Oryctolagus cuniculus: one gene and its partners. The protein of the gene in region 2 purifies or fractionates together with the protein of the main gene of each other region. This does not show direct contact. Links are inferred from orthologs where the notes say so. Each region holds a gene or a part of one and is shown on either strand. Other genes may lie near its edges.

Evidence for each region.
Region 1: the proteins of CEP290 (region 2) and IQCB1 purify together in Homo sapiens (co-immunoprecipitation; 8 studies listed by BioGRID and IntAct, counting the BioPlex papers as one, with this or other methods). This does not show direct contact. The link is inferred for Oryctolagus cuniculus from reciprocal best matches to the Homo sapiens genes CEP290 and IQCB1.
Region 3: the proteins of CEP290 (region 2) and PNMA2 purify together in Homo sapiens (co-immunoprecipitation; 3 studies listed by BioGRID and IntAct, with this or other methods). This does not show direct contact. The link is inferred for Oryctolagus cuniculus from reciprocal best matches to the Homo sapiens genes CEP290 and PNMA2.
Region 4: the proteins of CEP290 (region 2) and CEP97 purify together in Homo sapiens (co-immunoprecipitation; 4 studies listed by BioGRID and IntAct, with this or other methods). This does not show direct contact. The link is inferred for Oryctolagus cuniculus from reciprocal best matches to the Homo sapiens genes CEP290 and CEP97.
Region 5: the proteins of CEP290 (region 2) and NEURL4 purify together in Homo sapiens (affinity purification with mass spectrometry; 3 studies listed by BioGRID and IntAct, with this or other methods). This does not show direct contact. The link is inferred for Oryctolagus cuniculus from reciprocal best matches to the Homo sapiens genes CEP290 and NEURL4.

Annotation. Positions count from the first base shown.
Region 1 is NC_091435.1:78,107,787-78,112,288, reverse strand, and holds part of IQCB1 (IQ calmodulin-binding motif-containing protein 1), read left to right. Parts: intron 1-3,051; 5' UTR 3,052-3,063; coding exon 3,064-3,163; intron 3,164-3,378; coding exon 3,379-3,541; intron 3,542-4,502. UniProt on the Homo sapiens protein: Involved in ciliogenesis. The function in an early step in cilia formation depends on its association with CEP290/NPHP6.
Region 2 is NC_091442.1:90,754,299-90,758,800, forward strand, and holds part of CEP290 (centrosomal protein of 290 kDa), read right to left. Parts: intron 4,501-4,502; coding exon 4,336-4,500; intron 3,286-4,335; coding exon 3,178-3,285; intron 2,975-3,177; coding exon 2,840-2,974; intron 1,366-2,839; coding exon 1,099-1,365; intron 1-1,098. UniProt on the Homo sapiens protein: Involved in early and late steps in cilia formation. Its association with CCP110 is required for inhibition of primary cilia formation by CCP110.
Region 3 is NC_091433.1:47,728,638-47,733,840, forward strand, and holds the start of PNMA2 (paraneoplastic antigen Ma2), read left to right. Parts: upstream 1-1,866; 5' UTR 1,867-1,964; intron 1,965-4,951; 5' UTR 4,952-5,044; intron 5,045-5,203. Other genes in the region: DPYSL2 (dihydropyrimidinase-related protein 2), read right to left, coding at 1,182-1,535.
Region 4 is NC_091435.1:56,375,031-56,379,532, reverse strand, and holds part of CEP97 (centrosomal protein of 97 kDa), read right to left. Parts: coding exon 4,006-4,502; intron 1-4,005. UniProt on the Homo sapiens protein: Acts as a key negative regulator of ciliogenesis in collaboration with CCP110 by capping the mother centriole thereby preventing cilia formation. Required for recruitment of CCP110 to the centrosome.
Region 5 is NC_091448.1:51,923,133-51,927,634, forward strand, and holds part of NEURL4 (neuralized-like protein 4), read right to left. Parts: coding exon 4,470-4,502; intron 4,377-4,469; coding exon 4,288-4,376; intron 3,847-4,287; coding exon 3,774-3,846; intron 3,632-3,773; coding exon 3,367-3,631; intron 3,134-3,366; coding exon 2,952-3,133; intron 2,757-2,951; coding exon 2,671-2,756; intron 2,549-2,670; coding exon 2,386-2,548; intron 2,292-2,385; coding exon 2,093-2,291; intron 2,009-2,092; coding exon 1,932-2,008; intron 1,847-1,931; coding exon 1,768-1,846; intron 1,151-1,767; coding exon 975-1,150; intron 888-974; coding exon 756-887; intron 450-755; coding exon 304-449; intron 231-303; coding exon 6-230; intron 1-5. UniProt on the Homo sapiens protein: Promotes CCP110 ubiquitination and proteasome-dependent degradation. By counteracting accumulation of CP110, maintains normal centriolar homeostasis and preventing formation of ectopic microtubular organizing centers.

The DNA of each region.
Region 1 (4,502 bases), on a different chromosome or scaffold from region 2:
TGTATGTACACATATTTGCTTTTCTTTTCCAATCAGAACATTAGCAGGAAGTCTGTCCTATATAAAAATCTTTGAGATCCTTTTATCTACCATACTGCTTTATACATATTTGGTGATGATATTTTAGTAATGTTTTATTATGGTAGCCATGATATCAAGAAGAATGTTTGAAGTCTGCTTTAAAATGCTTCTAACCAGAAATCTGGGAAAAAGTTCAAGAAATTGAATTTCAGAATGCTGGAGGCTTATTCATTTATTCATCCTTTCACCATGTATTTATTAAGTACCTACCATATACCTGGCACCTGTCTAGCCACTGAGGCTATAGTAGTAAATGAAAATTAAGACAGCCACTACAAAAGGTAGATTTACCTTACCTTCTGGTGTGAATTTTCTCTAAATATATACTAAAATGAATTATGTTGGACTAACACAAAAATAAATACACAGACAAAATAGAATCCAAAAATATATCCTCTGTGTGTATGTATACTTAATGTATGAAAATATGGCATTTCACATGGTTTGTGTTGTGTCTATTCATGACCAGTTACCTCAGGAATTTATTAATTCTTTGTGCATTTGTCCTTTTTTAACCAGTCTGTAACCTCCTCTAACTCAGAAAATACAGTTGAATTCCTTTCTCAAACCATTCATGGGTATAAATATAAGAAAAACCACAGAAACACTAAAAAACTTGATGTGTTTTAGCTCTTGGGGTAGACAGGATCTTCTAAGTGTGATACAAAAGGCTGAAGTGGAGAGGAAAAGCTTGTTATATTTGCATAAAAGTTATAAAACTAGGAGTGAGCATTTAATTTGGTAGTTGAGATACATTCCATACATAGTACCTGGATTAAATTCCTAGCTGCAAGTCCTGACTCCAGCTTCCTGCTAATGTAAACTTTGAGAAGCAGCAGTGATGGCTCAAGTAATTGGGTTCCTGCAACCCACATGGGAGACCTGGATTGTGCTCCCAGCATCTGGCTCGGGCCTCAGGCCCAACCCCAGGTGTTGCGGTTATGTGTGGACTGAACCAGCCAATAGCAACTCTGTCTGCCTCTATGCCTCTCAAATTAAATAAAAGCTCATATTCATAAGTGAAAAGCTTAAAAAAGAATACAACAAGCCAATAAAAAAAGGTTAAGGGATATGAATAGAAAATATATAGAAGAAAAAATGAGGGGCAGGCATAGTGGATTAAGTCACACACTGCCTGTGGCACCAGCATCCCAAATGGGTACCAGTTCAATTCCCAGCTGCTGCACTTCTGATCTAGCACTCGGTTAATGTGCCTAGGAAAGTGGCAGAGGATGACCCAAGCATTTGGGCCCCTGCATCCAAGTGGGAGACCTGGAAGGAGCTCCTGGCTTTGGCCTGGCCCAGCCTTTGCTGTTGTGGCTCTTTGGGGAGTGAACCAGCAGACGGAAGATCACCCTCTCTGTTTCCCTCTCTGTGTAACTCTGCCTTTCAAATAAATAATAATAATAATAAAAAGAAAAAGTGGCCAGTGATCATAAAATGTGCCTGACTTACCTGATACTCAAAGAAATACAAATTAAAACAAGATCATACCATCTTTCATTTAGCAAATGAAATGTGAAAGTTAACATTAAGTATTTAAAAAGTGCAGTAAAATGAGAATCGTCATATTTTGGTAGAAGTATAAACTGGAACAATCACTTTGGAGTAAAACTGATTCTACTTGAAATTTAAAATATATATATCCTATGACCCAATATCAAGGGAAATTCATCCTATATAAATTCTGTCATGATTGCATAAAGATGCATACATCAATATTCATTGTAGCATTGCTTAATGCTAACGTTAACCTGAATGACCTCAAATAACGGCGAGGTTTGAATATATCTTGATGCACCTTTATAAAGGAAACATAGTGTAATTTAACCATTGGAAAGAATGAGATTATTATGTGTTCTCTTTTGCAATGTTTTGGGCTTCCCATTGACCAGGTATTATCTATTAATGATTTATATTTTTCTTAATGAGATGATTTATTGTGTGATGGCCAACTCTTCAATATAAAGGATGAACCATAGTGCTAGTTGTGAAGAATAATAGTTGTAAAAAGTGAGAGGCTGGAGCCACGGCTCACTAGGCTAATCCTCTGCTTGCGGCGCTGGCACCCCAAATTCTAGTCCCAGTTGGGGCGCCGGTTCTGTCCTGGTTCCTCTTCCAGTCCAGCTCTCTGCTGTGGCCTGGAAAGGCAGTGGAGGATGGCCCAAGTCCTTGGGCCCTGCACCCGTGTGGGAGACCAGGAGGAAGTACCTGGCTCCTGGCTTCGGATCGGCGCAGCACGCCGGCCGTAGCGGCCGTTTGCGGGGGTGAACCAACGGAAGGAAGACGTTTCTCTCTGTCTCTCTCACTGTCTAACTCTGCCTGTCAAAAAAAGAAAAAAGTGAGAAGTAGGATATTTGGGAATATGATTTGTATTATTATTTTACATAGGAGGGAATATAGTATTTAAAACCATAGACTTTGGAGTCAAACTGATTTGATTTAATTTGTCACCACATGCTGTTAGAATCATGACAGATTTTTTGGTTTAACCTACTATGCCACAGCACCAGCCCCTTAACTGACATCTTAACCACCAGGCTAGACACCTGCCCCAGTGACTAGAATTTTTATTGAAAGATGGGTCACTGCTATGGTTTGGATCTGGTTTGTCCCTCAATGGTTAATGTATTGGAAACTGCCCCGGTGTGATGGTGTTAAGAGAGTGGGACTTTTTTGGGTGGGGTTTAGTATGAAATAAATAGGTCATTTGGGAGGCTGTCTTCAGAAGGGATTATTGTTCTTTGTGGACCCTGGTTAGTCCTCATTACAGGGTTGTTACAAAAGAGCAAGCCTGGGACAGGAATTGTGGTACAGTACGTTAAACTGCCATTATTTCCACTATTTCCCAAGATGTGATAAAAATTTACTCTTCTCTTTTCAAATAAGGCAAGAAAAGCTATCTTCATTTATGTAACAAACATTATTTAGGTAATGAATACTTTATTCTCTATTCTGTTAAAAATGTAGGTTGTATAAGAAATGAAGCCAACAGGTACAGACCCAAGGATTTTATCTCTAGCTGCTGAAGTTGCAAAAAGTCCTGAGCAGAATGTTCCTGTTATATTGTTGAAGTTAAAAGGTAAGAAAATCATTTTGTGATTGTGTAATGTGGTTTAAATAAAAAATAATTTCATCATTGTTACAACTTCTCATTTGTCCAGAGAAATCTATACTATAACAGTGATAATGCTTTACCTTTTAATTATTTTTAATGGTTAGTCAACATATAAAAATACAAGTAGATTTTGGATATATTGAACAAAAATAAGTATATCTTATTTCTCTTTGCCTTAGAAATAATAAATGACACACCTTTAGGAAGCTCAGAATTGAAGAAAATCAAACAAGATATATATTGTTATGACCTCATTCAGTATTGCCTTTTGGTCCTTAGTCAAGATTGCTCTCGAATCCAGGGTGGTTGGACTACAATTTCCCAGCTTACACAGATATTAAGGTAAAATTAAGCAATAAATCTGCTTGTTCTTGAGGGATGTAGTTATTCTGATTTTCAGAATTTACTTCTATCTTTATCTGCTTAACAAGTATTGGAAACCTGCTGTGGTGCTTTGATTGTACTTTTCCTTTGTACAATATGCTATTGTTCATATTTCTATTTGCAACTGACTCTCAGATTTCCTTCCATAAGCTTCATGAGGATCGTGATCCTTTCTTTTGTTGAATAAGTATCTAATATACTCTTTGCTGAGAAATATTTGAAGAAATAAAGAAAGTCACTGGCTTTGTACTTCAGAACTTAAAATAGAGATAGAAAATCATGTAATTGTATGATACAAGGCAAAATGAAATAGGTGCTAAAGTGAAAGTGCTATAGGAGAAGCGATATCAAAGCTATTTTATTGACACATCCTATCATTAAAATTTAGGAGCAGCATTTACTTTTTTACTGCTATGCTAAAAATTATAGAAAAAAGATTACAATCACTTTTTAAAAGAAGGCAGTAAAATCAGATGTTTTTAATGCCTAAACCACTTCCTGATTAAATAACTGAAAGAATGCATTTATTAAATAAATGTTAGCCTGCTTTTTCCTTGTTTAAACAAGCTATTTGATTTTTAATGAACTATACCCCACTGAAGGGGTTTGTCATATTTACACTATGGCTTATATCCTAACTTTCTAAACTGCTTATTCCTACTTTATTACTAAAGGCCAAATTTAAAATATATTGTTAAAACCATTAATAAATGGATTTTTTTATATTTTAGTTTTTAAATGAATGATTTCCTTCAATAAATAAAGCCTTATGTTTTTGTTTTGATTAAATATGCTAACTCTTGACAACATTGTTCAAGCTAGACTTTCTGGGATGGGATTCAAGCAAGTTCTCATGTTTGTGAATGCACAAATAAATATAATTTTATATGTTAGTACTCTAAATCAAAATAGTTCCTTT
Region 2 (4,502 bases):
CAAAACAAAAACCCAGTTAAGAGTTGGGCAAAGGACTTAAACAGACATTTTTCAAAAGAGGGAATCCAAATGAGCAACAGACACATGAAAAAATGCTCAGGATCATTAGCGATCAGGGAAATGCAAATCAAAACTGCAATGACGATTCACCTCACCTCAGTTAGAATGGCTTTCATATAGAAATCAACAAACAATACATGCTGGTGAGGGTGTGGGGAAAAAAGGTACCCTATTCCACTCTTGGTGGGAATGTAAACTAGTAAAACCACTATGGAAATCAGTTTGGAGATACCTCAGAAATCTGAATATAGTCCTACCATATGACCCAGCCATCCCACTCTTGGGAAAATCAGCAAGTAAAAGTTATCTGCACCCCCATGTTTATTGTAGCTCAGTTCACAATAGCGAAGACATGGAATCAACCTAAATGCTCATCAACTGAAGACTGGATAAAGAAATTATGGGCTATGTACTCTATGGAATACTATATAGCAGTAAAAAATGAAATCTGGTCATTTGCAACCAAATGGATGAATCTGGAAAACATCATACTTAGTGAAATAAGCCAGTCCCAAAGAAACAAATATTGTATGTTCTCCTTGATCTGTGATAACTAACAGAGCACCTAAAAGGCAATCTGTAGAAGCAAAATTGACACTTTGAGCAGAAATGACTTGAACAGCCCTTGTCTTACTACTAAGGACAGTTTTTTTGTTTTTGTTTTTCAATTGTTCTTGTTATTGTTGTTTTTTCATAATGGAGAATGGGACTGGGAATGGGAGAGGGAGGAGGTGGGGTGGGAATGGGGGTGGGAGAGCAGGTATGATGCGACAAATCACTATATTCCTAAAGTTGTACTTATGAAATTCGTACTTATTAAATAAAGTTTCCTTTGGGGGAAAAAAAGAGAAAAAATATACATCTATACAAACTGCCAGTTCTTCTGGTAGATCTGTAACCCAATCAAGTGAAAGTTATAATTCCTAAATAGAATCATTTGAAAACAACAGATGAACTCCCACTTAAGGCAGAATAATAATTGGCATTTGACTAAAAAACAAGATAATAAATAAAATAGCATAACATAATATAAAATACCTCTCTGGCTTTTTCTAGAAGATTTTGGTATTTCTTTAATACTTCCTCCTTTTGATTTAACCTTGCTTGCATATTTGCAATGGTTTGGTGTGCAATTTTCAACGTGTAATGAGATTTTGGTTCCACCTCTTTCCTGCTTAGCTCAGCAATAAGTTTTTCTCGTTCTGCAGTAGCAGGCAATCGAAGCCTCAGTTCATTGATTACTTTATCTCTTGACAGAATATTTTGCTCTGCTAACCGTAAAGCAGATTCTTTTTCTTTAAGCTTCTGTAATCAAATCATAGTAAATTATTAATTTATGTTATTTCCTTTAAAACACATTATCTGAATTTCAGTTAGTTACAAACAAAAAAAAGAATTTCACTTATTTTTTGCATATTTAGCAGCCATCTGATTTTAGTAATATGAAACTGACTATTTGAAGGTGATAATACAATTACTTGCATGTACATTTTAATATGTGTTAAAAACCACTTTTAGGATGATGATAGAATTAAATTTGGATACTTTAGATCCTATAGCTGTGTAGTGGTACAAGATTGAGAAAGAAATATAATAAATAATCTCTTATTTTGGCCTGCTATCTGGGCACTAGAATAATCCGTTAAGAGTCAGCTGAGTAGGGCTGGTACTATGGTATAGCGGGTTAAGCTGCAGCCTGCAGCGCTGGCATCCCATATGGCACCAGTTTGAGTCCTGGCTACTCCAGTTCTGATCCATCTCCCTGCTAATAGCATGGGAAAGTAGCAAAAGGTGGCCCAAGTTCCTGATCCTTGCCACCCTTGTGGGAGACTCAGAAGGAGCTCATGGCTCCTGGCTTTGGTTGGCCTAGCCCTGGTCACTGTGGCCATTTGGAGAGTGAACCAGCTTATGAAAGATCTCTATCTCGCCCTCTCTCTCTGTAAGTCTGTCTCTCCAATAAATAAATAAATCATAAAAAAAGTCAGCTGAATACAAAATTAGAATTTTAGAGGACCAGGTCCATGAATCACTACTATGAAATCTAGTTAAAATGAAGCAGAAAAAAGTTTTACTTTTCAGTATGATTAAGACAGACATTTGAAATCAAGGAACTCAGCAATAATTCACATACATGACAAGTCTGATAATTATTGAAGAAAAACTAAGTTTTCTGAATTTATTAAAATGTACAATACACTTGAAAGATTGCTTTAAAATGTTTTTATAACTAGCATGTTTAGATAGAAACTAAAACGAAACACTCAGTTTATATTATTTTATGAATAGTTTAATAAAGACATATTTGATCATTTACTAATCAAATTCAAGACCTAGATTAAAATATCAAGTAATTTCTACTTTACTTTCAATCCTTATATCCCTCATAGAAATGAATGAACTGAAAATTCATCCATAGAGAATGCAATACACACTTCAAAAGAAAACTTAAAATAAGGATGAAAAGATCATCTAGCAGAAGGTAATATACAGCTCATAAAGCTAAAAATCAAATGTTCATTTTGCTTCCTTTTATTCTCATTGTTACTGAACATATGCCCCAAAATAACAAGTAGTAATTAAATGAGTAGTGAATTCAAATTAACTATATCTGGTGTCCACTGTCAGCTATTAGAAACTTAATAGTAGAAAAGTAAAACAGTAGAATTAGAAACAGATTCAATTTTCTATGCCTTATCATTAGTATTAATAAATATTAATTAGAAAAGTCAACAAGCATACCCAATAATACACTAATCAAAATGCAAATTCTTATAATTACCTCTTCTAGTGATTTGCATGTTGCCTGTGTTTCTAGAATTATCCGAACATTCTCCTTAATTTTTCTTAGAGCAATCTCCAATTGATTTGGAAGGGGCAGACTGGGGTCTGGCATCGATCCTGTAGCTGCTTCAAACTATTAGGAAAAATAATATTTTTAAAAAAGATTTTTAATAACAATATTCTTACAACTATACAGTAAAATATACATTAAACTTGACTTATATTTTAAATATAAAAAGATGACATCAATTAAAATTTCATCTGATTTAGAAAATATTTCAGTTAATACTCCTTAGACCAGGCTACAGAGTAGGAAACAGCATTAATCATTTATACCTTTTGTGCTGCATTGAGTATTTCATTTTGCTGATGGTCAAAAATGTCTAATTGACGTTCCAGTTCAACTTCTCTTTGATCCCAGGCCATTTGTCTTTCTTCATGAAACTGAAAAAGTACAGTTTGTATGTTTGTGTGTGTGTGTGCATGTCTCTCGCATATTCACTCTTTCTCTCTCTCTCTCTCTCTCTCTCTCTCTCTCACACACACACACACACACACACACACAAACTCCAAGGAATTTTACATACATATTCTTATTTCATCCTCACAACAACATTTTATAGTCACTGATATCATTCTCATTTTATGGAAAAGGATACAAACTCAGAGAAGTGAAGTAACTTGCCTGCGATAATAGAAATAGGCAAGTATGAATTCAGGATTTCAATCTGTTCACCCATTCATTCATCCCTCCAAAAGATAACTAGTGACAAATAAGCAAATTGTATGCTAAGGACTATTCTAGGCAATACACACACGGCAATGAAAAAAACCAAGTCCTTTTCACCACAGAACTTAGATTCTGGTGAGGGGAAGAGAGACAATGATAAGCAGGTGATATATATAATAAGTGCCAAGAAGAAAAATGAATAGAAGTAATCTTTATTAGGGAAACTCAACAGGAGTTTGTAACACAAGTTTGTTGTTATCTAAGGAGGTGAGTGATAAAGTGCACCTGATAGAGCCCCAGAGGCTGCACTGAGAAGGTAAGATACTTAAGGTCAGATCTGAAGGCAGTAGAAGCACAAACACCACAGGCATCTGGGTAAGAACATTCAAAGCAAGGGAACAACAAATCTATAAAGCAAGCATGTGCTTGATGAATCTGGTCTGTCTCTAAAAAAACATGCTTTACTCTATACCACAATACCTTCTTCTCCATCAGTGAGTTAAACTTGCAATTGTGAAAACTCAAATAACAAGTATCAATTTGAAAATTAACTTTCCAAATAAGTTCACTTATGAATTGCTCCATTTTAGTTGAAAACTACTGTTATGACAACTATACAGATGTGCATTTTTAAAACAGATTATTTTATAATCTATTACTAATCAGTGATACATTCAACTGGGAGAATAAGCTAGTCATTCATGCAATGTTCTTATGTATAAAATTTTAGCAAAAAAAACCCAGTAAAGTAAATTAAATAAAACCTTGTTCTGCTGCACGATTTCTTCCTCCAAACTGCTGATTGTTTGTTCATATTCAGATATTATATTATTCAAGTATTTTATTTCTTCTTTATCCTTGACTAACTCTCGATTTAGCTTAAGTTCTTGAAGACGAAGTTCTTCTATTTTCATATGCCAATTAATTACCT
Region 3 (5,203 bases), on a different chromosome or scaffold from region 2:
GAACTTTGTATAAGTAACCTTCCCCCACATGACAGGGCAAGACACACAATAGATATTCAAGAAATAACTATTCACTGATTGATCTTTCTTCATCTTCACCCATGAGTTTGGAAGAGAAACAGCAAAGAAGCGTGAAGATATTTCGCACTGGAAATTATCAGTTGAGAAATGAGGCTGTGAAAAACTGCACAAGGGCAAAGGTCATCCTGATGGAGAAAAAACTGTGTGTGAGACAACTACTGGACTTCCAAGGCTCGAGATTCGTATTTGCCAGTGGACGGCAAACATTTCCTAAAATCAAGGTCGACCAAACTGGCCTTCTTTGTTTCCACATGAACACAGTAGAAAGGGTCTGATCTGACAATCTATCTCAGCTATGAGGGGTGGGGTTCTCCTCCCCTCCCCCGTATTCTATTTTTTTTTTAACCCTTTGAATGCAATCCACTGAAGGCCTGCCCCAAAGTGCCTCCCAAACAGCGGTGGGAGCGCTCTGGGAAGCCCTTGCGGAAACACTTGGCGGAACTTTGTTCTCCTCACGGACTATTTAGCAGCGGTTTGGTTTCCACCGGGGGATTCCACGGCCTCCTCACTCTTCTCTCCAGGCAAACAGGAACCAAGCGTGGTGATGCTGCCAGGCGGGCCAGGGAGGCGCTGGCCATGGTCCTGACCTCCGAGCTCGGGACCTGGGCGGAGAGGGCGCCGGAGCAGGTGCGGCGCCGAGCGGCGGTCCGAGCCCTCGCCCCTCCCGACCCCCCGGGAGCCCGCGGGCCTCCACGCCAACCTCCACCGCACGCTCCGAGCTGCATCAAAAAAAGGGTGGGGCTCCCAGCCACAACTGCAACCCGAAGCCGCCGGCCCGGGAGGACTTAAGAAGAATGGAACCGCGGCCCACCCCTCTCCCAGGGCGACCCCCTCTCCTCCCAGACCCCGATCGGCCAGTCCCTGACGCCCATCCACTTCCCAACCCCCGAGCCCGGGGAAGCGCGAGCAGCCTTTGTGGGCGCACGGCCGCCCACCGCCGCGCCCTGCGCGCAGAAGGGGCGGGCAGGGTGGGGTGCGCGTGCGGAGGCGGAGAGGCCGCGGTCGCGGCAGGGCACGAAGGCAGGCGCCCAGGCTGCAGGGGCGAGGGGCGAGCTGGCGCCCGAGCGCCCGCACCCACTTACCTCCCCGCACACACCCACCTGGTCGTAGATGTTCTGTAGGGCTTCCTTGCCCGAGGCCCGCCGTATCTCCACCTTCCTGCCGGATTCAACAGATGGCTCCCCGCCGGCGCGCCGGCCCTGCCGCGAGTACGGCGTCTGAGGGTCCGGGCCCAAGTGGGCGACGTCCCGCTGCTGGGCCACCACCTGCCCCGAGCCCCGGCCCACCGACAGCGAATCGAAGTCGATGGTCTTGTTCTCCGAGGACCCTTCCACCGGGCAGAACATGCCACAGAATTTCTGCCGCGGCTTGGGGCTGCCCGAGCCCAGATTTTTAAAAAAGGCAGGGACCTCTTCGTCCTCTGCCGCCTTCCCGGACTGCTTCCTCTCGGCCATGGCGCGGGGCTGGGGAGGGTCCCGTCCGTGCGTGCGTGCGCTGGTCCTTCAGGCTCCCTCTCCGCGTGCACAGACCGCGCTGCCGCTCTCTGCCCACCGCAAGGTGCACAGAAAGGAAGGCGGGCTGGCGAGCGGGCGACCCACCCTCCCGGCCCCGCCCCCTGACCCCGCTCTCTCCCCTCCCTGCCCACGCCCCCCGCGCAAGCTAGCGGCAAAGTTGAGTCTGGGAGGGCCGCCGCTGCGGCAGCCGGAGCCGAGACGCGGCCGGTTCCCGGCAACGTGGGGCGGGGCGGGGCGCGCGCGGGACCCGGGCGGGGGGGGGGGGGGAGGGCGGCGCCTCGCGGAGCCCCGCGCTCCGGAAGTGAAGCGGCCAGACCCCCGGCTAATGGATGCGGAGCGCAGGGCGCGCTCGCCGCTCTCGGCGCCACCGTAAGTAGCAGGCCGAGCACGCGCGGAGAGGACCCATGGGCGCAGCCCCGGCGCCCCGCTCCCCCGCCACATTGCGGAGTGGGTCGGGGGCGAGGCCGCAGAACTCTCCCCCCCGCCCCGCTCCGTTTTACCCGGGTGGGAGCTGGTGGAGGGGGAAGGGGCGACCAGCTTATTTAGGCACCGGGATTGTCACAGGGAAGGCGTGGCGGAGAGGGTGGCAGTAGGAGTGGGAAAGGTGTGGCGCAGGCGGCGCCGACCGCACCGGGGGACCCCCCAGGCTCGCCGACGCTAGTACTGCCGTGCACCGACGCCGAGGGGGGCGGCAGGAAGCAGAGACCCGCGAGAAGGTTCTCGCAGGTTGCACGTGGTGGAGGGTGCGGAGGCGCAACAAGGCCGGGAGTAAAGCGCAGGGGCGTTGCAAAGTGGAAGACGGGGTAGCGTAGCGAGACGCAGGTGGACGGTTTGTGTGAGCGTAGGCAAGACTGCAGCCTGCACGTGCCAGCCCAGCGGAATCTGCAGAGAGAGGTTGCAGAGTCGCTGTATTGCCTGAGGGCCGCCATGCCGCCTCTGCGCCAAGATTTGGTATCTTCCATCTCCCCCGCCAAAAAAAAAAAAAAAAAAAGGTGGGGGAGAAGCGGGGTGAGGGCCACTCCCTAAGCCTTCAGCCTGCTCCCGCATCCGGGCACTGTGTCTGTGCCCCCTCCCCTCGCCCCTGTTGGCGCAGTGCGCCAGAGCGGCGGGCGGAGGAGGTGCCTCGATCTGTGCGGCGCCCCGCGGAGACCAGGTGCGGACCGCGGCGCCGGCGGCGCGGCTCTCCGGGGCGCATGGCGATTCGTGTGGATGAGGCTGGCCCTGCCATGCTCGTCTCCACGGCCTTCCCCCGTTTCAGCCCCTCCTTTAGCAGTGTGCTGAGGGAGGTCGGCGCTGAGAGAGGCAGCAGACCACGGGCCCGGTGACCGAAGACTCAGCCCGCACCCCCAGAAGGATGAAATTAAACCACGCTTCCCCACAGGGCGAGGCCCGGTCGGTCGGCTGAATAAAGTTTGGAGGAGAACCAGTCAGTCTGTGGGGACGGCGTCTCCGCCAAGTGGGAGGGGCCGAGGAGCCAGGCAGGCATTTTGAATCCCCGCACCAGATGTGCTTTGCATTTGAATAAAGCGCTTCTCTCTGAGTTACATCATTTCCTACTCACCGCAGTCCTGGGAGAGGACGGGTTTTATCACCAGGGCTTTCCAGGTTAGGAAACTGAAATTCAGGGAGATTGGAGGCATGCTGCCCAAATCTAGTGAAATGACCCAGTAATAACAGTGTGGGGGGGGGGTCTTCCGGCTCCAACTGCGGGTGTGGTTCCCTGAAATGTGAAAAAACTCAAGAGTCGGACATTTTTTCCACATCCAGGGGTTTCCATCTGGGGCCCTATTCCACGTTAAATGCATTGCCCTCGCCATCTTTCTAATTGAGGGGCAAGGAGGGATGGCACTTGAGAGAGTGGTCCCAAGGTGACAGCTACGTGGGTCTTAGAGGTGTTGCTTTCTGAGCGTTCAAAGCCTTTCCTCCAAGGGGCAGGAAGGCCAGCCCCATGGTGTAGAAGGGAGAAGTTCATCATGGAAGAGCCAGGAGTCTCCAGCCCCCGGAGCTGCTCAGCGCAGACTTCCCTGGCACCTTCCAGATGGACGCGGTATGTCTGCCGCTGGTATAGCTGCAGGTGACTTCTGTGGCATCTGGACGGCTGATGGAAGTTTTCAGGCCAAAGAGGAAATGATCTTAGCTCCCTGACACACCCTCCCCAGTGCTGATGATCGCAGTCCACAAGCAACAGTGGTGGTCTCCCCAAGAGTGTATCATCATGACCATCCTGGTTTGTGTCAGTCACTCAGTGGTGTTCACCCAAGGTCCAGATCACAGTGCCTTTCTCTGAACAAATCTTCACCACTAAGCCGCACGTGACTGAGGGCATTAGGAACTCTTGCCTCCCCAAGTTCAACGCTGGGAAGAAAGTGTTGTGTTAATAACTTACTCTTATCAGCCCTAAAGGTGTTCATATCTGGCTAAAAAGCCTATGAGAGTATCTCAGGCATGGAAAGCCAAGACACTGTGGCAAAAAATGACCTAAGTAAAAGATCTCTGTGAGTGAGATCCCAGCGGAAAGAATGGGCCGTCAAAGAAGGAGGTACCTTTCCCTGAAGGGAGGAGAGAACTTCCACTTTGATTATGGCCTTGTCTAAATAAGATCAGAGTTGGCGAACTTAAGAGGCTTCCATAGCCTTGGCAGCTCCTGATGACAAGAGCCTTGGGTGACTACTGACGTCATAAATAAGAGTGTCAATTGTTAACAACAGGAGTCACTGTGCACTTACTCCCCATGTAGGACCTCTATCTTTAATGTGTTGTACTATGCGAATTAACAGTAAAACTAGTCTTCAAACAGTACTTTACACTTTGTGTGTCTGTGTGGGTGCAAACTGTTGAAATCTTTACTTAGGATAGAGTTGATCTTCGGTATATAAAGATAATTAAAAATTAAAAATGAATCTTCATGAAGAATGGGGTGGGAGAGGGAGAAGGAAATGGGATGGTTTGCGGGTGGGAAGCTGGGTGTGGTGGGAAGAATCACTATCATATAAAAGTTGTACTTTTGAAATTTATATTTATTAAATAAAAGTTTTCTATTAAAAAGAACTTATTCATAGCACAAAAAAAAACACCTACTTGTGCATTTGCAGAGCCTCACCAGGCATACTAAAAGGGAATTAATTGATAATTCCAAAGTAACTCATTCATCCCTGAGCTTTGTCTAGTTCTTATACCTATATTTTAAATGTACACGTGATTCTTGGTTGGATTTTTTTTTTATCAAGGGAAGCAACAATATTACTGAGTAGATGTAATTGAATTATGAAGGGTTGTCCTTTTTTGAGTAATTGCACTTTAGAATCATCAGCACTGGATATTAGCGAGGCCTAAAAACATGTTATTTATGTGTAAAGGTCTGCTTGACGTGGCTGAAGCACCACTGCAAAGAGGCGACTGACAGCTTCCTGTGCTTGACTCTCAAAGAACATTCTGGAACACGTAAGCAGGTATCTAGCCACATCTAATTTTGTCTTTCATAGGAAAAATGAAAAGTCCGTTCCTGCCCACAGCTGGGATTCAGACATATTTTTTTAAAGATTTATTTATTTGAGAGGTAGAGTTACAGACAGTGAGAGGCTGAGAGAGAGAGAGAGAGGTCTTCCTTC
Region 4 (4,502 bases), on a different chromosome or scaffold from region 2:
TATGTACCAGTTGCTGTGCCGAAAATGGTGACGCAAAGTCTTTGCATTCAAGACACTTGCAGGGTGCCAGTACTGTGGCACAGCAGGTTAAGCCACTGCGTGCAATGCTGGCATCCATATGGGTACTGGTTTAACTCCCAGCTGCTCCACTTCCAATCCCGCTCCCTGTTAAGGCACCTGCCTGTGAAAGCAGTAAATGATGGCCCAAGTACCTGGGTACCTGTACCACGTACCCACATGGGAAACTGGGATAGAGTTTCAGCCTGGATTCAGCCTGGGTTCAGCCTGGCTTAGCCTTGGCTGTTGTGGCTATTTGGAAGGTGAGCCAGCAGATGCAAAATAACTCTCTCTCTCCCTCCCTCTCTCACTCCTTCTCTCTCTAACTCTGCCTTTAAAACAAATAAATGAATCTTTTTTAAAAAATATGCTTTCAGTGTATTGTAAAAAACAAACAAGTAGAGGCCAGCGTTGTAGTGTAGCAGCAAAGCTGCCACCTGCAGTGCCGGAATCCCATATGGGTGCTGGTTTGAGTCCCGACTGCTCCACCTTCAATCCAGCTCCCTGCTAAAGTGCCTGGGAAAGCAGCTGAAGATAGCCAAAATCCTTGGGCCCCTGTAACCAGGCGAGAGACCAGGAAGAAGCTCCAGGCTCCTGGTTTCAGATCTGCCTAGCTCCAGCCAGCACAGCCATATGGGAGTAAGCCAGTGGATGGAAGACCTCTCTCTCTGCCCTTGCCAACCTGTAACTCTGCCTTTCAAATAAATAAACCTTTGTAAAAATTTAGGAAAAAAAAGATGCGGCATATACTTCCTAGCCAAAAAAAAAAAAAAAAAAAAAAACTAAACTAATATTAGCTACATGGTATAAAATATGTTATGACAGCAGTAGCATAGTTGTCTGAATCAACTATGAATCCACCACACCCAAACAAACAAAAACAACAAATCCACTTAAGAAATGGGCAAAGGACTGAATAGACAGTTCTCAAAAGAAGAAATACAAGTGGTTAACAAATATATGGAAAAAAGTTCAGTATCACCAGCCATCATGGCAATGCAAACCAAATCTACAGTATCACCCCACTCCTGTCACAATGGCTATTATCCAAAAGACAGAGAGCAACAAATGCTATCAAGGAAATAGAGAAAAGAGAATTCATATGCTGCTGGTGGGAATGAAAATTAGTGCAGCCACTACGGAAAAGATTATGGATATTTCTTTTTAAAAAAATTTTTTTTGACAGGCAGAGTGGACAGTAAGAGAGAGAGAGAGAGACAGAGAGAAAGGTCTTCCTTTTTCCATTGGTTCACCCACCAATGGCTGCTGCAGCAAGCACACCGCGCTGATCTGAAGCCAGGAGCCAGGGCTTCCTCCTGGTCTCCCATGCGGGTGCAGGCACCCAAGCACTTGGGCCATCCTCTACTGCCCTCCCTGGCCAAGCAGAGAGCTGAACTGGAAGAGGAGCAACCGGGACTAGAACTGGCGTCCATATGGGATGCCGGTGCTGCAGGTGGAGGATTAACCTAATGCACCACAGCACTGGCCTCAGATTATGGAGATTTCTTAAAAAACTAGGTATAGACCTGCCATATGACATAGCAATTCCACCACTGGGTATATACACAAAAGACACAAACCTATTGTATCAAAGAGATATCTGTTCCACCATGTTTATAGCAGCAATATTCACAATAGTGAAAATATGGAATCAACTAAGGTATCCATCATCAGATGAATGGATAAAGAAAATATTGGTGTGTGTATTTATACGCACACATACACATAAACACAGGAATATTATGAAGCTATAAAAAAGAAAGAAATTCTATCATTTGCAGTAAATGGTTGGAACTGTACGACATTATGTTGGGTGAAACAAGCTAGACACATAAAGACAAATACCACATGTTCTCCATTGAATGTAGGAGCTAAAATTTAAAAAGATAATAATAATTAAAGATATTTCATGTGTATCAGCACTGCTACAAATACAATACTTTGTCAAACTTTGTATTAAATCTTTGTTAAATAAATTGAAAGGAATTATATACTATTATAGTTTTAATGATTTTGCGACTACTTTAAAATTTATATGACCAAAGTTGAACATCTTTTCCTTTGATTATTGTTTAATAGCTCTTGCCCATTTACCTTCTAGAATGTTCTTTTTGCTTTTTATTTGTTGAATTCTTTATTTAATAGAGCCATTAGCCTTTGACTATAATGTAAACTTAAAATTTATCTAAAAAAAAAAAAAAAAAGCTTGGGGCTGGCACCATGGCAGAGTGGTTAAAGCTGTTGCCTGCAGCACCAGCATCCCATATGGATACCAGCTAAAATGTCAGCTGCTTCACTTCTGATCCAGCTCCCTGCTAAATGGCCTGCAAAAGCAATGAAAAATGGCCCAGTCATTGGGTCCCTAAATCCTTGTGGGAGACCCAGAAGAAGCTCCCGGCTCCTGGCTCAGGCCTGGCCCAGTGCTGTCCACTGTGGCCATTTGGGGAGTGAATCAGTGGATGGAAGATCTCTGTCACTCTGTTTTTCAAATAAATCTTAAACAAACAAACAAACAAAAAAACAGAAAAAAACAAAAAGCACAACAACAAATTGCTTCTGGATCCCAACTTGGAAGGACTGATGAAAAAATCATAAATATCCAGAATTATTCACTCAATAGTTTTTATATTCATATATTTATGGTCCTGTTTTACTTTAAATATATTCAAATTAGAAATGTTACAGATTTTCTTATGCCTTGGCTTATGCCGAAAGAATGCTGGATTCCAAATAGCAAAGAAGAAAAACCTCGATTGGACTTCAAAAGATTGAAAAATGTACACTTATATGTTTCAGGTTAAAATATTTAGGATGTTGGGACCGGCACTGTGGTGTAGCAGGTAAAGCCACCACCTGAAGTGTTGACATCCCATATGGGCACGGTTCAAGACCCAGCTACTCCACTTCCGATCCAGCTCTCTGCTATGGCCTGGGAAAGCAGTGGAAGATGGCCCAAGTCCTTGCACCCCTGTACCTGCATGGGAGATCCGGAGGTCTCCCTCCTGGCTCCTGATTGGTGCAGCTCCGGCTATTGCGGCCATTTGGGAGTGAACCATTGGATGGAAGGCCTTTCTCTCTCTCTGCCTTTCCTTCTCGCTGTATAATTCTGACTTTCAAATAAATAAATAAATCTTGAAGAAATATTTAGGATGTTAGGCCGGCGCCACAGCTCAATGAGCTAATACGGCACCAGCACACCGGGTTCTAGTCCCAGTCGGGGCGCCGGATTCTGACCTGGTTGCTCCTCTTCCAGTCAGCTCTCTGCTGTGGCCTGGGAGGGCAGTGGAGGATGGCCCAAGTGCTTGGGCCCTGCACCCCATGGGAGACCAGGAGAAGCACCTGGCTCCTGGCTTCGGATCAGCGCGGTGCACCAGCCGCAGCGTGCCAGCTACAGTGCACCAGCTGCAGTGGCCAATGTGGGGTGAACCAACGGAAAAGGAAGACCTTTCTCTCTGTCTCTCTCTCTCTCTCTCACTGTCCACTCTGCCTGTCAAAAAAAAAAATATTTAGGATGTTAAAAAGAAGAACCTGGGGCTGGCACTGTGGCACAACAGGTTAAGCCATGGCCTCCAGCGCCAGCATCCCATATGGGCACTGGTTTGAATTCCAGTTGCTCCACTTCTATTCCAGTTGCTCTCTGCTAATGTATCCGGGAAAGCAGAAGAGAATGGTTCAAGTCCTTGGGCCCCTGTACCTATGTGGGAGACCAGGAAAAAGCTCCTGGCTGCTGACTTTGGCCAGGCCTAGCTATGGTTGTTGTGGGCATTTGAGGAGTGAACCAGTAGATAAAAGATCTCTCTCTCTGTCTCTCTGTCTCTTTGTCTCTCCTTCTCTCTCTATACCTCTGCCTTTCAAATAAATAAATCTTAAAAAGGAAAAAAAGAAAGAAAAAAAGAACTTGACACTCCAAACCAACAAAACAGAACTCCAACAGGATTTTTAACCCACCTCCTTATTTCATCAGTTAAGCAGACAATGTGCTCCTGCATTCTGCGCAGCCGGATTTCATAGCGCACATCTTTGGCTTGAGGGTTGTAGTTCCTGGCATAAAAGCCCCGCCAACAGGCCTGAAGCTTAGTGGCTGCCTCATTCAACTTCTGAAGTGCAATTTTATCTTCTCCCAAAGCAACAGATCTCTGGGTTAAAACCCTGCAGGGAACTTTTTCTGAAGCTGTTTGAGACATAGTTTCTTCACTGTCTGGCTGTATATGAGAGATGTGTCCAACTGACTCAGGAGAAGATGTAAGATTATGGTTATCATCCTTTAGGACAGCACTGACTAGTGTTGGCTCAGAACAAGGTAACAGCCTACTTTTCTCATTTACCTCTTTACTCATCTCATTTTTTATCGGTTGAACACAATTCTCATTTGCAGCCCATAAAGACTTTTCCTCTTCCTTATCCAAGTTCTGGTTTTCCAGTCGTATCATAGATTCATCTGTAAC
Region 5 (4,502 bases), on a different chromosome or scaffold from region 2:
TTCACCCCCAGCCTCTCTAGGTTCCGGCCATAGTTCATCCTCTGCAGCTGCCCGTCACGCCTCACTTCACAGCTGGACACCATCCAGGTGGTCTTCGTCCGGAGCTCTGGCAGGGAGGGAGGCAGCCCGGGGCCACCGCCTGCCCCAGGCCCCATCTCCCCTGGGGCTAGTGTGGTCAGTCCCAGCCGGAGGGACCCCGCCCACTTTTCATCCAGCTCTTCCACTTTGACCTGCGTGAGAGACAGCATCAGCTGGCCCTGCCGTGCTGCCCGCGGCGCCCACTGTCCCACCTGCACAGCCCACCTCAAAGACTTCCTCAGCCTTGAGCTCCTTGGTGCTGAAGACGAGGCCGTGAGCATAGCCAGCCGCCCGCACGGCCCTCGTGCCGTCCTCCTCCAGGGTGACGTTCTTGCCACAGGTACTATGGAATCGGTGAGCCACACCAGCCACTGTGAAAGACGGCACCAGGGAAGGGGTAGGACTGGGGCTGCAGGCTTCACGCGAGACACAGGGCAGAGCCTTCAGATGAAGTGGGAAGTGGACACAAAGGGCCCCCTCTGCCACTACTCCTTAGAGCCCCAACACCTTTACACCACCCGTGCCCACACCTGGCACGCCCAGGCCACGGTGTCAGGCTCTGTGTACCAGGCATAACCTCCCCCACTTGACAGCGTGCCACTGTGGGCTGTGCCTGCGGCACCCCCAGGGCCCACAGCAGGAAAGCAGAGCCTGCAGCCCCCTCCCTGCCACTGCACCTGGGGAATGCAGGGGGAAGGACTTCTCGGTGGCGCTGTTGCTGGTCGCCAGGCTGTTGTCCATGGGGCCGGTGGCGTTAGTGATGGACACTTGCACACACTGGCCATAGAGATCCACGACTGCATACACCTCTGGACGGCAGAGGAAGCCACGGTCAGACGCCCGAGGTCTGGGATGCACGGCCTGAGGGTGCAGGCCCAAAGCCACAGAGTAGTCACCTTTACCCGGAGGCAAGCCTGAGCAGGCGGCGCCTTGATCCTGGCCGTTGATGAAGTAGTGCAGGTCGCCCTTGGCGGTGCGCATCATGCCGATGCGCGCCCCCGTGCCCAGCGCGTCCAGGTCACACCCGTAGTTGTTGCGCATCGTGTTGCCGTCTTGCATGATGGCGGTGCCGCTGCAGGGACGGCAGGAGTGTGTTCAGCCTCCCAGCCTCATCCCCACACTGGCCCCCGCTCAGTCCCTGCTGGTCAGACCCAGACTGGGGTCTTGGTCTGGGCCAGAAGCCCCATCCTGAGGTCCCCCAGGGCAAAGCAGAAACCATCCTACAAGGAAGAAAGATCGAGTTCCTGTAGGGCTAGGCAGGGCTTCTGTGACAGAAGGGACCGCCAGTCCCCTGGCTCTGCCCCTCCCAGCCGGCTCCATTCAGCCTCCCCTCAGCTGCTCTTAAAAGTAGGAAGCCTGGGGTTGGTGCTACAGCATCAAAGGCTAAGCCTCAGCCTGCAGTACTGGCAGGCTGCTCCTCTTCCAATCCAGCTCCCTGCTAAGACCTGGGAAAGCAGCGAAGGATGGCCCAAGTGCTTGGGACCCTGTACCTGCATGGGCGACCCGGAGGAAGCTCCTGGCTTCTGGCTTCAGCCTGGCCCAGCCCCAGCCGTTGCGACCATTTAGGGACTGAACCAGCGGATGGAAGACCTCTCTCACTTTCTCTCCCCCTCTCTCTGTAACTCTGCCTCTCACATAAATAAATATATAAATAAATCTTTAAAAAAAAAAAAAGGCAGGAAGCCCAACCTCAGCATCCACGTATCATAGTCAATGTCGGTCATCGTGTTGGGGAACTCCAGGTCTTCAGGCCGAATAGCAGTCACTCCTGGGGAGGAGGCAGGAACTGGTCAGCACTGACCCCGAGGCCACAGGCCCCAGGACCCCCCAGCACTCACACAGATGTCCCTCACCTGCCTCAATGGAGCCTGACCAGCGGTCCACCATCTTCTGAATGACAATTTCAAAAAGCTCTCCGTCGCGCAGGGCCCTGCCGAGGAGGCGGCAGTGAGAGAGGCCCTGGGGAGGCTGAGGCGGGGCCGCGGGAAGCAGGAGCGCCAGCGCGCAGACTGACCGGTTGGAGATGACGATGGCGTCGTTGAACTCGCTGCGGCAGTTGTGGCGCAGCGCGGTGCGGCCGCCGTTGGTGATGACGGCGTTACTGCCGTGCAGCTGGTGGAAGCGCAGGTCAGAGCCCCCGGCCCCTGACGACGGAGAGCTCGGGGACACCTGGTTGTTCCCCTCAGGGAGGGGCTCAGGAACCGGGGGCACCTCTGCAAGAGTGGACGTCACCCGTCGGGTTGCCAGGTGTCTCTAAGGCCTCCCAAGGCCACCCCAAGCCCCTGCCCAGCGCTGCCCGGCCCTCACCCACGTCGTCCACGATGGTGGCCTGGGCTGCCTGGCCGTAGAGATCAACGACGGCATAGACGCCGGGAGGCACGTTCCAGGCGGCGGGGCCCTGAGTCATCCCGTTGACGAAGAAGTGGAGCGTCCCGTCCTCCCGCCGCACCACGCCCACCGTGTCCCCTGCCTTGGAAGAAGGGGGGCTAGAGTGAGGAGTCAGGCGGAGTTCCTGCCTGGGCTGGTCCTGCATCGGCCCCCCTCGCCTGCCTCCCCTGCTGCTGTGCCCAGATAGGACCCTCACTCTCCCACCTTGAGGCGGTCCAGGTTGTGCCCATACTCGTCCAGGATGGTCGTCCCGTTGTGCATCACCCCGTTCCCGGTCATCATCCAGGTCCCTAGGGGGATGAGGAGTGGCAGAGGACACGAGAGGGAAGGCGGGGCCTCTCTCCTCTGCATGGCAGCCCCCGCAGAACAGCTCTGCCCTGCCCACTGGGTGCTCCCCAGCCACTAGATGAGGATGAGGGTCAGGGCTTCGGGGACAGCTTCCTCCCTGGGACCCCACCTTGGCCCTGGCCTTCTCGGGAGCTCACCAGAGCGCAGGTTGGTCATGGTGGAGGGCAACTGGAGATAGGCAGGGTTGTGAGTGGTGACGCCAATCTCAATGGAGCCAGCCCATTTGTCCACCATCTTGTCAATGCGCACCTGGAACACCTCTCCATCCCGCAGGGCTCTGCTGCTGAGTACCACGCCATGATTGAAGTCGTCGGTGGCACTGAGGGCACAGCACATGGGGAGTCAGATCCCAACACTCGGTGTCAAGGCTTCCCCCAGTGACGCCCGCCAGCCCCAGCCAACCAACTGAACCTCCCACTGCGGGAGGCGCCCCACTCTCCTGTCCAAAACGCCCCAGACCCGACTCCCTCTGCCTCTCACTTGTCCAGCCACCCCCTCTCCAGTCCCATTAGAGCCCCTTCTGCAGGCTTCTCCCCACCCCGTGGGCCATACTGGGGCCTCAGGGCAGTGCGTCCCTCGTGGGTGATGGCTGCCTTCTGTCCACAGTTAGGGTGGAAGAGCAGGCGCTCGGGTTCCGCCTGGGCGGCAGGAGCGGTTCGGCGGAGGGCGCCCTCGGGGGACAGTGCCCGCAGGATGGCATTGTTGCGGCGGAGACGGTCGCTGTGGTTATTATTGTGGACAATGGTCACCTTCACTGCCATCCCGTACAAATCCACCACACCGTACACCACTGGGGGCGTCAGCGGGGTGGCCACACCTGTGCAGTGGAGAACGGGGGGAGGGGAGTCAACCACGGGGAAACCGAGCACCCACAAGAGGCAGGAGGCTGAGGTCCTGACCCTATGCTCCCCGTCCGGCTGAAAGCTCTGGCCCAACAGCACCTGCGAGCAGCCCCTCACCCTGGTCGATGCCATTGATGAAGAAGTGCAGGGCAGAGTTGGACTTCCTCGTGAGGCCGATGTGGTCTCCCTCCTATTCAAAGCAGAAAAGCCGTGAGCCTGGAATCTACCCACCGTCAGGCCCCAGAACAGCGCTGGGCCTTGCTGCCACCCCCTCCACAGGACAGCAGCTCCCAGAGATGTCCACGCTAGCCTCAGATCACCCTGGGGCACAGGAGGACAGGTGCCCGGGCCCTGTTCTCCACACATGGCCACGTCTGCAGTTCCTGAACACTCAGTGCAAGTCAGGCGCTGAGTTAAACCGTCTTACGGGCGTCAACTCCCTCAAACCTCAACCTATAAAATACGTGCTGCGCTGTGAACAGCCTCATTTTAGAGGCTGCCGGGCAACCCCACCTCCTCAGAAGGAACCTCAGTTCTGGGTCAGAGACCACTGAATGCATGGCGGCCAGCCAGGGACACAGAATCCCCGCGTCGCCCAGGAGGGCGGCCGGAGGCTCTGGGCCCCGCGCACCTGCAGCTCATCCAGACTGAACTCGCAGTACTCGCGGCGGGTGCCTTTGCCGTTGGTGAGGATCCCACAGCCGCTCATCATGATGGTGCCTGGTGCGGGAGGTGGACGCCCTGGTTAGGACACAGGCTTCTTCCCCTCAGGAAACCCCAGGCCTGCGCCTCCACCCCTGCCAGTGCGGGCACCTGACTGCAGGTTGGTCATGGTGGCTGGGTACT